2 linked regions of the Astyanax mexicanus genome follow. The protein of the gene in region 1 purifies or fractionates together with the protein of each later gene. This does not show direct contact. Links are inferred from orthologs where the notes say so. Each region holds a gene or a part of one and is shown on either strand. Other genes may lie near its edges.

Region 1 (7,183 bases):
TTTAGAAACTCCTTCAAGAGGCTGAGAAAACTATTCCAGGTGACCCCCCCTCATGTAAGCAAATCTGTCCTCAAAGCTAAATGTGGTACTTAGAAGAATCTACATTTTAAAACATATTCTGGTGTGTTTAACACTTTCTGTATACAAAAAAAAATCCCATGTGTGTTCCTGTAGAGCTTTAGTGCACACTTAAAAAAAAAAATCTTACAGTTCAATATTGCCATTATATTTAAAGTTAGTGATGAGTGTATTACCAAACAACACGTGCATTAGCCAATGATGTAAAACGCACAATAAACGTTAGACTTACTGTGTTGCAGACTGGACACAATAATTTGTAAGATAAAAACTTCCGTATACACAGCGAACAAACTGCAAAGAGACCCAACACAAACATCCATTATTTACTCATGTGTTTTGATGTTAATTAGCTACATATTTTGTGACAATAAGATAATATGAGGCGAATGAATGCAAAAGCACACATGACAGTGACAATGCTGAAGAGCTTATTAGGTACCGTAATAAAAAGTTTTTTTTTTTTTCCAAACATAGTTAACTGTTACTTCTCTTAATACAACATACATATTACCAAAAACAACAAAAAATACTTACAGTTATGTGAACACTGCGACATCATGGATATGTTCAAGAAGTCAAAGCAAATGGGACATCGAAGAAGGGTGTCTATAGGCTGTCAAAGCAAATAATGAAAACGAGTTAACGCTAGGTAGCTTACATATAATCACTGTAAGTCATTGAGCTAGGTAAATATAATTTATTTATAAAGCACTTTTATAAGACAGAGCCACATAGTGCCTTACAATAAAGCAATTTAAACCAAAAATAAAAAATTAAAATCTAATGAAATACAACACGTCCAAACAAAATAGTAAAGGTTGTGTTTAAAATCTCGTTATGTCCTATTTGTAGCGAGCTTGGAGTGGAGCGAGTCTGGGATGCCAAAACTCAATGCTGATAAAGAGAGGTGCCTACTTGATGACCCCTATAAAGGGCTTGTGGCATAGTGGATGATGAGTGTTTTTGTGATTTGTGATGGGATGGTTAGGTATTTCATGTTTGTGTCATATGTTGCTGATCAAATAATCAGCCACAGCAACCTAGCTGTTCGGTGTCTGGACTTCAGGTTTGGATTAAATGTTGCTGATCTGATTGTAAACGGCAACAGCAAACTAACGGTTAGGTGTCCGGTCTTCAGGTTTGGGTTAAATGTTGCTGATCTGATCATAAACGGCCACAGCAATCTAGCTGTTCGGTGTCTGATCTTCAGGTTTGGATTAAATGTTGCTGATCGGATCATAAACAGCCACAGTAACCTAAGTTAGCAGTTCGGTGTCTGATCTTCAGGTTTGGATTAAATGTTGCTGATCGAATCATAAACAGCCACAGTAACCTAGCTGTTACGTGTCAGATCTTCGTATTTGAGTAAAACGTTGCCAATCAAAGCCTAAACAGCCACATCAAGCTAGTTGTTCGGTGTCTTGTCTTCAGGTTTGGTTTAAATGTTGCTGATTGGATCATAAACTCAAAAATGACCACAGCAAACTAGCTGTTTGGTGTCTGTTCTTCAGGTTTGGGTTAAATGTTGCTGATCTAAACATAAATAGCCTCAGCAACCTGTTAGGGGTCTGGCCTTCAGGGTTGGAATAATTGTTGCTGATTGGTAGGGGTGTGCCATATCGTAGCGTGCGTGATAATTGCGCCAAAAATTTTGAATACCGTGAACGATATTATCCCCTGAAATATCGCGCCATATCACCCACCCCTAATTATCACATCAGAGAACTACTTTTTTTGTAGTTTTTAGCAAACGAAAAATTCACACTGTTCTCATTTCCCATTATATATCTACTAGAGACAGATTATATCTTTTCAGTATCATTTATCTTACTTTAATCCTGGATATATGGAGATATTAGGAGTGCATCACTAGTATCATGACATTCTGCATCATTGACTTCTGTTACAAATCTGATAAAATTCTTTTTTCTTTTTCTCAGTTAGCCATATCATATTGCATGCAAAAATAAAATTCTAAATAATTTTTCTAATTCAGTGTTTTGTCATATCGCCAAATGTATCGATATTGTGAAAATACCATGAAATATTGTGATATTATTTTAGAGCCATATCGCCCACCCCTACTGATTGGATCATAAACACATAAATGACCACATCAACCTTGTTGTTAAGTGAAGGAGGTTACCGTACTAGTGTCGTAGGTAATAGTGGGTTAGTGAAAAAAGTAGAGTATAGGGGAGAGTGTATGTATGCGTGTGTGTAACCCCATATGTAAATTGCAGGATTTATCATTTTTCTGCATTATGCTAATAGAGGAAATACAACACATCCAAACAGAATACTAAAGCCACCTTATTCGTGATCACACTCAAAAGCCAAATAATAAGAGTAGATTTTTAAACGTTTTTTGATTTAGTGAGTCTTTAGCGAGACGCAGTGTCAGTAAGCCTACGTAATTAGCTAACCTAGCTAACTAACTAATTAGCAGCTAAGTTAATGCCAAATGTCTCTTCAGAGCATCAGGCAAGTGACAGGTAACGCTAACCTTACGATAAACAAACGATACACACAGGAGCTAACAAAGGGCAGCGTAAGATCCGACCCAACTAACCTAGCTAGCTAACCAGATAAACCCCCAGCTTACTAGCTAGCTAACTAGTCTTCAATACTGGCAAAAGTATAAATCCCACTGGCCACTGGTCTTTATAGTTAATTCAGCTATGGTCACACAGATCACACAGCCTGAATTCAGCACTATATGTAGCTAAACTTACTGACAATCCCACTGTCAGTTTAACTTAGCTAACGTTAGCCAGCTAACCTAATGCGGGCTTCACAGCCAAAATAAGTGACTTATCAAAGCGTTTATTAGCAGAACTTACTTTCAGGCACGCCAGGTTCGGCGGTAAATCCGCCTCATTTGAGTTAGACATGATTAACCGAGCGAAAATGAATCAGTCGGTTTTTCTGAGCTCTTTCCTGAAGGTAAACACAGTCCTGCTGCTAACAGCTGAGCTGCACGGCCAGAGAAAAAACCCGCGCGCACTTTTACCGGCACATCCTACTCCGACGTCACTTCCATTCATGCTTTGAGGCAGAAGATTCAAACTCGGCTCTCGCATTGATTCAGTTCAGCGAACCGATTCATTTAACCATACGTCGGGTTCAACTTTGATTCATTAGAGTCGGTTCGGGCAGTGAGTCTGATATGGGCCAATTCTGCTGCACTGGCTCTAGTGTAAAGGAATTTTAGCTAGACAATAAATGCATAAAGCATACATATATAAACATATACAGCCTAGCAGTGATTGATTTGTACTTTGAAGCTTTTCAATTTGATTTGAATCCCACCACTTTTTTTTTTCTTTTTTTTTGTATTATTTTAGTAGGATTTAAAAAGACTACAGAAACGTGACAATCATTATATAAAATAATATTCTTTGCGTAATAAATTCTTACAGTTAAAAATAGCTTAAAATCGGACAAAACAAATAGAACTGTTGTGTTGAAGGTTCATAAATGGGCTTTAAAAATGTATTTCGTAGTTTTGTATGTTTAATGCAACAATGCAACCGCACTTACTTTTGTATTTGTCCCTCTGCAGCACTCGTAGCTCCAGTGGTGTATAGGTGCGTAAAATGCGGGAGGTAAGCAGAGCAGTGAAGCTTCCTGAATAAGCAGCGTTGTAAAAGGATTAATGTACTTTTTTGACAAGCTAATTGAAATAATTGTTTTCATATCAGTTTTAGTCACCCCTCTGTGTATTTTTAGCGGATATTGGTGCGTATAGAATTATTTCTGGCCCGGTTCGGTTTCCAGCGTTGGGCTGCAGCAGTTTTGGCGCCAATTGTAATCTTCAGGTTGTAGTGTGAGCCTGAAAATGTATCAATAATGTCCCATGTTTTCTTGTGTTTTTTACTCTTAGAGAAGCATATGCAGTTTCCTAAGCATAATAATCACCAAAGGGATTGTCTGTGTGTATGTGCAGGTATGTTGTAGTTGTGCTTATAATCTGTTTTACATCATTTTTAATCAGGAAATATATATCTTAGCTATTGTAAGTGTAAGAATTTATTTTATAAATTAACTAAAATAAAAAAGCAGCAACTAATTCAAATAATTAGTCTGTTTTTTTTTAGTTGCTACAGGACTGACAGCTGTTCTAACCAATCAAAGCTTTTTAAAATGGCTTAGCGAACTATCATGGAATTGCGGCTGCAAAGAGACAGATATTGTGTCACATCATATTAAAAAGCCTTGGTTGCCCTTCAATGTGAAACTAATTCACAATAATAGGCCAGACTGGTGAGTTTTTGTGTGTACCTAATGTTTTGGCTGCCCTGGCGTACTGTAGACATACAAATGAGTGATCTTTGTTGAACGGTTGTACTTGTAGGCAAATTAAGCATTTATTGTTGGGTCTGTTGTACACTTTTGTCAATTCTAGCTGTATTTGTGGGCTGATGATATGTATTAAGTTAATATAGCTAAGCCAAGAGAGAGAATATGAAGTTATTGTAATATTTATCTATGTGTCGGTCGGCCGGCGGCGGGGTGGAGGGTATGGGGAGTGGTTGCAGAAGGGGTACCCACTATATTCACTGCACGCCACTGATGTATGTATGTATGTATAAAATAATAACTTACTTATCAAGGTGTCTGAAATGAAAATAATTACTCTAGTAAAGTGTAGATAACCAAATTTCCAATGCAAGTTAGGTAACAAAGTATTTAATACTATTTGTTAATAAATGTTATTTTTTTTTATGCAGAAATTTGAGTGTATCCTCTCAGCTGTTCTAAAAACTACTAAAATACTGTCATTTGCACCACTAGCATGGAAAACCAAACATTCACTATACTGGTAAAAATGTGATATTTGTTAATGAGTTTATTTGTCCCCTTCACACCAACACAAGTTGGTTTGATTGTCCAAAGAAAGTTTGACATTGAGGTTGTGTGCCTTCAGGTCTGAACTGCAGCATTATTAAAGCATAATGGCACTGTTTTATAACTTATTCTAGCATTAATATGATGATATAATAATTATTTGGGTGGCCTATAAACCTCTACTTGACTCATTACATCAGAGACTGGACCTTGGCTGCTGTATACTTGTACTTCTGCTTGAATTGAACTGATTCAGAGGGATTTCTTAAGATTGCCTAGATATCTGTCTGTACAAACAGACCTTGCAGGCAAACTTTTAATAATAGCTATTCTTTAAAAGCACTGTAACACTCTCTATGCTGGTAAATATTAGTATACATTGTACACTGTGCAACACACAGGACACATCGCTTGAATAGTGATTCCAATTAAATGGGCTGGACTTTAAATTGTTTGGAGAAAAAAGGGGGTTTTAGACAGACTTTGAGTGGAAGAAATCAACCGAGGCATTGAAGAGAAATGATCCGTTAAACAATAGATACTGATTTTGCATGTAACGCATGGATAAAAGAGAGGAGGGTGAGCCAACCAAGATAATAACAGACCAGGAACTCGTGCAAAGACTTGTCAACACACTCAAAGAGAAGCAGAGCTTTTAGATACAGTTTAAATAAACAGGAAGTGTAATACAGAAAGAAGGCAATTTTATTGTCATGATCATCGATTTGTTTTGTTCTGAACAAGTGGAGACATCCAGTTTCTTGGTAGTCCTATTTTCCCAAGCAAAAGAGTATCTGTATTGTACTGAAAGGGTCTTTTTTTTCAGTTGTGACACTAGTGGAGCTGTTTTGGTGTTTAAAGGTGCCCTAGAATGGAAGACTGTGTACAGTATGCTATGCTATGCTAGGTAATGCAATGTTACATGGTTGCTGTAATCTATTGGAGTAATGTTAAACAGGCAATAAGAATAATCAAAAACTAGTTTTGTGTTTATATACCCATAGACCACTGAAGTTGTATCATTATTTTGTAGCCAGTGCCATGCTGCTAATGCCCATATTTGGCACTGCCTCAGATGTCCAGCCTCAGATTTCGATGGCCTATTATTATTTTTTTATATGAATTTTATATGAACATCACAGAATCCTTTTAATTCCAAAATTATTTAAGATTATTTAAGATGCTACTGTGAATTTACACTAATGAACCAGTGATCTCAAATGACTCTTAAATGTTCAGATTCAGAATGTGATTTTTTTAAACCCCCCTTCATTCCACCATTAACAATAGGAAACAATACACAAAGCAAATCACTGTTTCATTCTAAGACACAATAATGGGGTTGTAAAAAGGTTTGTAAAATCATATCTGAGCATCGCTTACCTTTACTAAATCAAATAAAAAAAAATCTTAAGTGTATTCTGTGGTCTATTTAATAGAAAGTGTATAGGATATTATTTATAATTAATCTACTAAAGGTTTTCATCATATTTATGAAGAACCATTTAACCAGCTAAAGAACCATTTTAGCTTCTATATTGAACCATTGCCTCACCTGAAATAAAGTGTACTTTAAAAGTGAACTTTTAAGTGTTTATGTACCATATTTGCTGCATGGACCCCAGCAAGCAGTGGCTCAATTTTTGTTTTGCTCTTTTACTTGCGGGATGAATGGGACAGTTGCTGTATTCATTATGAATGTGGAAATAGAATTTTCCATTCACAACTCTATAAGTCTCTCATAATGATCTTTTTTTTCAGTAGTCCTGCATTGATATGGTTATTTAAGCAGTTAAAAAGACTGTCTCTGCTATTGGAAGGATTATGTGGGCTAAACAGCTTCGGTGATTAAAACACAGCTCAGTGAATACGATTCAGTCTCACATTCCCCAATTCCCACACCGCCAACAAGGCAGAACGCGCGGCGTTCTTTCTTAAACATCCGTGAAATTGATTTAAAAATCCCTGCCTGCCTTTGAACGAACATACTCTGCTCCGTGCATGTGCTGATCTAAGAAACAAATATATATTTATATATCTGTGCTTCTGTGCACATTTACAGGAGGTGAGATTCGGGCTAAATATCACATAAAGAAATCAGTTCTGTTCATTTTGTTTTCCCGGTGAGACTGCAGTCAGCTGACAGCTGTGCATTTGAATGAGTGGACCTGACTACAGATCACTCTGTGTACATATAATCAGTCAGTGGAACAGACCTCCAGTCGAGTGTTTATTTTAATAGCCTTTAGCC
Region 2 (8,032 bases), on another chromosome or scaffold:
GAAAAATAAGGGTAAGCTAAAGGCCAAAAGAACATATGGCTTTCAAACATGAGGCCTGGGGTCATTTTCACCAACACTACAAATGGTGTCTCAACTGCTGAACAACACAGTGTAGATTAGCCTGAACATAAACATAAATGCTGGCCAAAACTAGTGTATGGATGTTTATGCATGTTTAAAACATGCATCATCAGACACTTAAAATTGCTAGTGCCCATTATAAAAGTGCTTAGAACACAGCAATTGCTGGTCTATGCTGAAATGGTTCTGCAGCATAACAATTAATAGTTTATGTTGGACTATTTTTATCATCATCATACACATACAAAACACAATGAATGCTGTTTTTTGAGGGACTAGTGCTAGTTAAGTGCTGTTTTACTAGTTCAATTGTACTAAAAATACAAAAAAAATGCTAATTTTTACTGGGTTAGTTATAGTGTAGTGCTTCTCTACCAACATTCCCATATTTACCATCAAACACATTTTTGAACCACAAGAATTACTGTTTATTCTGGACTAATGCTGGTTCACTGCAGCTGAACAAACATCTCTGTGCTTAAGACACAACAAATGCTTGTTTATGCTGGTGTAGTTATGCTTTAGTGCTTCTTTACCTGTGTACCCAGGTACAAAACACAGCAAATGCTGGTTTATGCTGGACTACTGCTGGTTCATTGCCGTTTTACCACCTACAGGTACTCAAAACACAAAAATTGATGGTTTATGCTGGTTTACCTGTGTGCCCATGTACAACACAAAACAAATGCTCGTTTATCCTGGACTAATGCTGGTTAATTGCTGTTTTATTAGCTTATGAGTACTAAAAACACAACAAATGCTGGTTTCGTGCTGGCTGATCTACCTAATACATGCTGGTTCCCACTGTCTTTTAGAACATCAAATTCTATAGCTAATGACCAGCACAATAGTGGTGCTGGTCAATCATCTGGTCATGCTAGGCCATGCAGACTATGTGCAGCAGAAGTGTGTATTTCTAGTAAAACGGATACTCACAGAACCTCCTATATAACTCCCATGTAGACACTTGATTCCTTGAAGGAGCTCTCGTTTCTTCTGGAGGTTCTTGATTCCAGACATTTGAAACACATACTTATTCCCCAACATGCTGGAGAGACAGGCAGAGTAGGTGACAGCAATATTCACATTGCTGCCGTCAGCCAATCATCTTTTTTCTCATTTAAAATGCATTCCTAATTTACATCATTTTCTACCCAAACTGAAAGGGCCAATTGAGAGAGAGAGAAAGCAGGGCCAATTGAGAGAGAGAGAGAGAGAGAGAGAGAGAGAGAAGGGCCAATTGAGAGAGAGAGAAAGCAGGGCCAAATGAGAGAGAGAGAGAGAGAGAGAGAGAGAGAGAGAGAGAAGGGCCAATTGAGAGAGAGAGAAAGCAGGGCCAAATGAGAGACAGAGAGCGAGCAGGGCCAAATGAGAGACAGAGAACGCAGGGCCAAATGAGAGAGAGAGAGAGAGAGAGAGAGAGAGAGAGAGAGCAGGACCAATTAAGAAAGAGAAAACAGGGACAATTGAGAGAGAAAGTATGGACAATTAAGAAAGAGAGAAAGTAGGACCAATTAAGAAAGAGAGAAAGTAGGACCAATTGAGAGAGCGAGCAGGGCCAGTTGAGAGAGCGCGAGCAGGGCCAGTTGAGAGAGCGCGAGCAGGGCCAGTTGAGAGAGCGCGAGCAGGGCCAGTTGAGAGAGAGCGAGCAGGGCCAGTTGAGAGAGAGCGAGCAGGGCCAGTTGAGAGAGAGCGAGCAGGGCCAGTTGAGAGAGAGCGAGCAGGGCCAGTTGAGAGAGAGAGAAAGCAGTGCCAATTAAGAGAGAGAGAGAGAGAGAGAAAAAAGCAGGGCCAATTGTGAGAGAGAGCAGGTCCAATTGAGGGAAATCAGGGCCAAATAGGGCCAACATTTTGCATGACAGTTACAAGACACATTAAATATATCTGTTGTATCGCTGTTATTGCTGTAATTATATAACAATAAAGCTACTTTGAATCTTATGTGTGGGAGACACAGAGATAGATAGAGACAGACAGTCAGAGAGAGAGACAGAGACAGAAAAGTAGAGGGAGAGACAGAGACATAGGTTAGTTATACATATAGACAGTTAAACTAGTTGGCTAGGTTAGGTAGGTAGGTAGTTAGCTAACGTGTGTGTCTTTTTCAGCTTATTTTATTTAAATATTCAGCTGCAGCGGTCTTACCTTGTATTATTGTGCAAATACGATAGCCGTTATAATATAAGAGCTGCTGAAATCACTAGCTAAGCTAAGCTAAGCTAACCATACTGACTAACTTAGCTTTAACTGACTTTAACTGACTAGTGTCACTATTAGCTAAGTGAACCCAGCGTTAGCGGTAGCGTTAGCCATTTTCGAAGCCGCGCCAAAACTCCTGCCAAAAAAGCAGAGCTTCTCGGGAAACTAGCGCTATTAAACTTCCATAAGCCGTCCCATCTTCAGCCAGTGCGCCGTCCAACACGCTTTACTAGTTACATATAATATTCCACAACGTATCACATGAAGACAACTAACCAGATTAAAAATATGGTTATAAAACACATTCAGAGTGTGCTTGTTTTGCGTCCATGTCAACTGACGTGTGGGTTTGGGCTGTATTACCGTGTGCGCTGCTGCGAAATACGGGGGTGAGCTTTAAGAAGCGAAAATATGAATAACTACCCTAAAACGTGAGTTAATGAACATTTAAGTGGTTTAAACTAAATTAAAGATCAAATAAAAAAAACATACAGTTGAAATAATCAACGTAAACGCAGATAATAACGTGTAGGAACACGAAAAGTCTCCCCCGCCTTCATGTGTGAATGGTTTGCTCCGCTCCGTGTACAGGATGTTTGGAAGCGGAGCTGCACGCGCTGGTTGTTAGAGACGCTTTGGTTGATAAGGTGCTGGGTTTTGCAGAAATATACTCTGAACCGGGGTTTTAGGAAGGGATTTTACCTTTTTTGTCGTGTAAAAACTTCTGTTATCTCAGCATGCACCAGATTAAAGCCTGTTTTCCTCGTTTTTGCTCTGTATGCTAGCTAGACAACACCATGCTACCGTTAACTGCTTAATTCCCTTCATAGCTAGCTAGCTAATCAAACACCACACATTTAGCTAATTATCTAGTTATCTACAGGTGTGTGTGAGTCAGCTGGCAGCTAGATAGTTAACGTTAACTAGTTAATTAATCCCCCTCATTGGATACTAAGCATTTTTTCTTTCTATGTGACTCCAGTCCCTTCTTTAGGTTTAATCACTGTTTGATTAAATGACTGGAAGAGAATATAGAGATTATTTTTTCATTATATTTTTAAGGTTTTAAACACAGTCAGAGACTATCATCACGAGCTTCTTAGCTAACTAACTAACTTACTCAGTAACCTGGACGTATTAGGAATAAACACATCTATTAGTGATATTAAACAATAAGAACAATGAGGATAATGATTATATTCCCTGGTTCCATGGATTTGGAGTGCCACTGACTGCATGTTCTACACAATAAGGTAACTAGCTACAGTAATAAAACTGTGTAATGTGGGTCTGTTAATGTATTATAAAATGTTTATAGAGGTTTTTTTTTTAATCTCAGTTAACTTGTTGATATTCTCTTTTGTATTATTACAAAGGCAAAAAACACAGCTGTTACTTTTGTTAGTAAAAACTTACATGATCAGTGCAAATATTGCAAAATTTTATATATATATATATATATATATATATATGTATATATATATATATATATATATATATATATATATATATATATATATATATACACACACACACATACATCACATTCATCATCAAAGTACTTTGGAGAAAGAACAGGAGTGTCCAAACTTTTTTTGTTGAGGTCCAGAAGGAGAAATATATTTGAAGTCATGGGCCACACTCTGTAATTAAACAAATAATAAAAAATACCACTTTAAATAATACTTTTTTCCTGATTATTTCATTTACACACCATTTTACTTGACTTACTATCTTTATCTTTGACAGTGTTGTGTAAACTAAGATTTTTCAAATTGATGTTTCATTTCATGATGTCTCTTAATATTAAACTCCTTAATTACGGCAACTTTTAGACTCTTTGGCCCGTTTTTCTGCGCTAGAAATGCACACCCTCTCCGCTTTTAGACTCTTTGGCCCGTTTTTCTGCGCTAGAAATGCACACCCTCTCCGCTTTTAGACTCTTTGGCCCGTTTTTCTGCGCTAGAAATGCGCACTCTCTCCGCTTTTAGACTCTTTGGCCCGTTTTTCTGCGCTAGAAATGCGCACCCTCTCCGTTTTTAGATTCTTTTGCCCAGTTTTTCTACGCTAGAAATGCGCACTCTCTCCGCTTTTAGACTCTTTGGCCCGTTTTTCTGCGCTAGAAATGCGCACCCTCTCCGCTTTTAGACTCTTTGGCCCGTTTCTGACACCTAGCGTTCAAACTTTGAATCTCACATTATAAAAACCTGCTTAACAGCGGGCCAACTTTCATTCTATTTCTAAAATACCTCGCGGGCCGCTCCAAAAAAGGAAACAGGCCGCAAATGGCCCGCGGGCTGTAGTTTGGACACCCCTGACTTAGAACTATACATACAATTCAATTTAATTTTTCAAGTGGCAGACTTAAAAGCTCTGTGTAATGAACATCAGTCAGTAACATATGCTGTAAGTACTTTGAATCTCTTACAACGTTAGACCAATTAAGACCCATTGCCTAAAATGACAAACAATGTATACAGGCCATACATAGACACACAGGTCAGAGGATATTTTCAAAAGATTCAAGACTATGCAAATATTAATAGAATATTTTAACATATTTTGATCTAAATGTTAGATAGTAAAGCCAAATAAAATAAAATATTGGATGTTCTTAGTATGGTTTAATATAATTTGCTACGAGACTATTATTATGAAGCCCAAAATGGCGGATTAGCCATAGCGTCTAATGGATAACTGGCGACTCTAATGGTTATCGAGCTGAATGTTTGGTAACAGATGGATGAAACTGTTCTGGTTAGATTAGTAGGTTCTGTGGTTTGATAGAATATGTGGGTATAGTTATAGTTCACACCGGTCTTTAGATATTGACCGAAATCTGTAGTAGGTGTTGGCCTATATGTTAGCCCTAATACTGTTTTCCGATTATTAATGGCTGATTTTTGATATCAGACTGATGTTAACTACTGTGCTGGTTAGATATGGTATGCTCTGCTGTTTGATGTGGGTGCATTCCTGTAATAACTACTAATTAATCAGCAACTGGAGCCACTTTTTATTGGTTTACTGAAATCCACACAAAGTTAGATATTTACATACTAATGATATATCTACTGGATCATAATATTTTTTAATGTTCTTTCCAATGTACTTTCACATGCTCATGTTTTAAATAATTGTAAATGTACAAAAGTAACCTGAAAAAGGGTGTATTTTCGAAGGGTGTTCATGTTGTTTTCCACAAGATCCACGTGAATATAAATTACAAGGTCTGAAGTTGTTAATACGAGCTTCTGAGGTGGATCTGAAGGCAGTATTAGTTCATAACTCCTGAAGTGGTGGAAAGTATGAGATGATGGTCGTGTTTAATTTAGCATGTTTCCTTAAAAGTGAACACTTGCTCTGTTAGGGCATTTAGTTTTAAGTGAGGATTTCGGTGGCGTTTTTAAAAACGCCGGAGGAGGCACTGCCTGCTAAATATTTCACACCTTCTCCAGGCTAAGTGGGCTAATGTGTGTGTGTGTGTGTGTGGATGGGTAGAAGCATGCTTGTTTCAGTTTAAGTGCTGGGAGAATACATCTGGCCCATGTCTCTCTCTCTCTCTCTCTCTCTCTCTCTCTCTCACACACACACACACACACACACACACACACACACACACACACACTGAACTTCAGCTCAGTCTTTCTCTCTCTCCTGTGGCACCTCTCAGAAGTACTGGGAGACTCCACAACATCTGAGTTGAAAATAGCTAACAAGACAAAGAAGATGGAGCGAGCATCTGCCTAATTAGGCCCTGTGTGGTGACAGGCTGAACCTGACACTTTTCCCACAACTCTCATGTGGATCACACACCGGCAACGATGCACATCCCTTTGTAACACAGGCTGCACTCACACACACACTCGTACACACTCTCACACACACACACTCACACACACACTCACAATGACTCACTCAGTCCCAGTGTAATTACACTGTAGAGTTCCTAGTCCTAGCCCCGTAAAAAGCTTCCCAAAGTGTTTCTCTCTCTCTCTCTCTCTCTCTCTCTCTCTCTCTCTCTCTCTCTCTCTATCTCTCCCTCTCTCCCTCTCTGTACAGACTCTGGGATGCTCATATAGAGTTTAGAAAATAATAAAAGCGTGAGCTTAACTGCAGAATCTGTCAGCTGAGGGAAATAATATTTGTCCAGCCGGACAGCCCTTCTCTCTCATTGTGCGGGTTAAATTAATGTTGAGATCTGTGTGTGTGTGTGTGTGTGTGTGTGTGTGTCAGGGAGGTAGCGTAGGCTGTTTGGAGTTTGACAGGGATTATTAAAATCAGCCCACATGAAGGAGAAACAGTGGCAGCAAAGCCAAATTGACACTGACACTCTCCATTATACTCCATTTGACTCATGATGACACCCTCAGATATACTGTATATCTCTCGCTCGCGGTCTCTCTCTATCTCTCTCTCTCTCTCTCTCTCACACACTCTGTCTGTCTGCTGTCTGTCTCTCTTTTTCTCACTGTTTCTTTTTTAAGCTGTCTCTCTGTCTATGTTCTATCTTATATGCACAATTCTGCATACTTTTCTCTTACTTTTCTCTCTCCTTTTCTTTCTCCTTCTATCTCTACTGCTTTCTCCCCTTCTATGTCTTTCTTCTTTCTTTCTTTCTTTCTTTCTTTCTTTCTCCCTCCTTTCCTGTTCTGTTTCTCTCTCACCCTTCTTGACATTCTCTATTTACTTCATGCTTTTTTCTTATTTACCATTTTTCTGTCTCCTCATTTTATTTCTCCCTCTTTTCTCTTTGTCCTCTTGTTTCTCTGTCTCTAACTCATTCTCTAGCTCTCTTTATTTTCATTTATGTAGCTCCCTGTCTTTTTTTCTCTTTCTCGCATCCTTTTTCTCTGTCTCGTAAGCTCCCTTTCTTTCCTTCCAAAGTTCTGTCTTCTCTTCCTCCTCAGCAGTCTGTTGTTTTCCCCCACTTTTTTTACACACTCTTTACAAATTCTTTCCTTCTTTAATTTTTTCCTCCTTTCTCTCTTCTTTTTCCTGTAATTTTTAAAAATATATATTTATATCTTTAATCCTCTCATTTTCACCTCATGTTTCTCTCTCTTACTTTATATCTCTTTCTACCTGTTTGTCTGTCTCTTTCCCCCTTCTCACAGTTTCTCTGTTTGATGTTTCTTCCTCTCTCTCTCTCTCTCTCTCTCTCTTTCTCTCTTTCTCTCTCTCTGTGTGTTGGGTGCAGGTGTTGAACATGCAGGGTCTTGTACTGGTGGGGGGTGTAAATAGATTGTTTGTATAAAGTACAGATGAGCAGCGTGTTGGCGGCTGATTCTCTGTGAATGGAGCTCTGTGTTTTAGATATGCATTTATTACTGCTGGGCTCCACTGGAAATTGAAAGCATTCATTCTTGGCAGGGAGAGAGAGGGAGGGAGGGAGAGAGAGATTGATAGATAACAGAAGGGTCGAGGCGTCTTATAGGAGATGATATCCAGCGGCTCGGTTCAGGTGGGCTTGATGTACTGCTCCTGATAAGGATCTTGTTGGAGGAGAAATCAAATCATCACATCTCATGAGCCGCTGCGTTGCGCTCGAGGATGTGTTTCATCAACAGGGAGGCTCTGCTGGAATGGATGTCATTCAGACGAGTACTGTACATAAGCAGACATCTATTACAGTCTGGAGGAGTTCTGTACTCCGCTGCTCTCCACGAGCTGGGCCTGCGTCACACGTGAAATTCAGCTGTAGGACTGTGGATCTGGAGTAGATTGAGTGGTTACTTCATTGATTTAATTA

What was found. The genes of interacting proteins can lie anywhere in the genome.
Region 2: the proteins of rad18 (region 1) and slf1 purify together in Homo sapiens (affinity purification with mass spectrometry; 4 studies listed by BioGRID and IntAct, with this or other methods). This does not show direct contact. The link is inferred for Astyanax mexicanus from reciprocal best matches to the Homo sapiens genes RAD18 and SLF1.

The regions. Positions count from the first base shown.
Region 1 is NC_064412.1:15,609,075-15,616,257, forward strand, and holds the start of rad18 (E3 ubiquitin-protein ligase RAD18), read right to left. Parts: upstream 3,106-7,183; 5' UTR 2,976-3,105; coding exon 2,925-2,975; intron 695-2,924; coding exon 616-694; intron 373-615; coding exon 311-372; intron 1-310. UniProt on the Homo sapiens protein: E3 ubiquitin-protein ligase involved in postreplication repair of UV-damaged DNA. Postreplication repair functions in gap-filling of a daughter strand on replication of damaged DNA.
Region 2 is NC_064429.1:25,828,620-25,836,651, forward strand, and holds the start of slf1 (SMC5-SMC6 complex localization factor protein 1), read right to left. Parts: upstream 3,047-8,032; 5' UTR 2,983-3,046; exon of another isoform or gene 2,719-2,982; intron 2,642-2,718; exon of another isoform or gene 2,227-2,641; intron 1,130-2,226; 5' UTR 1,129-1,129; coding exon 1,018-1,128; intron 693-1,017; exon of another isoform or gene 618-692; intron 1-617. UniProt on the Homo sapiens protein: Plays a role in the DNA damage response (DDR) pathway by regulating postreplication repair of UV-damaged DNA and genomic stability maintenance.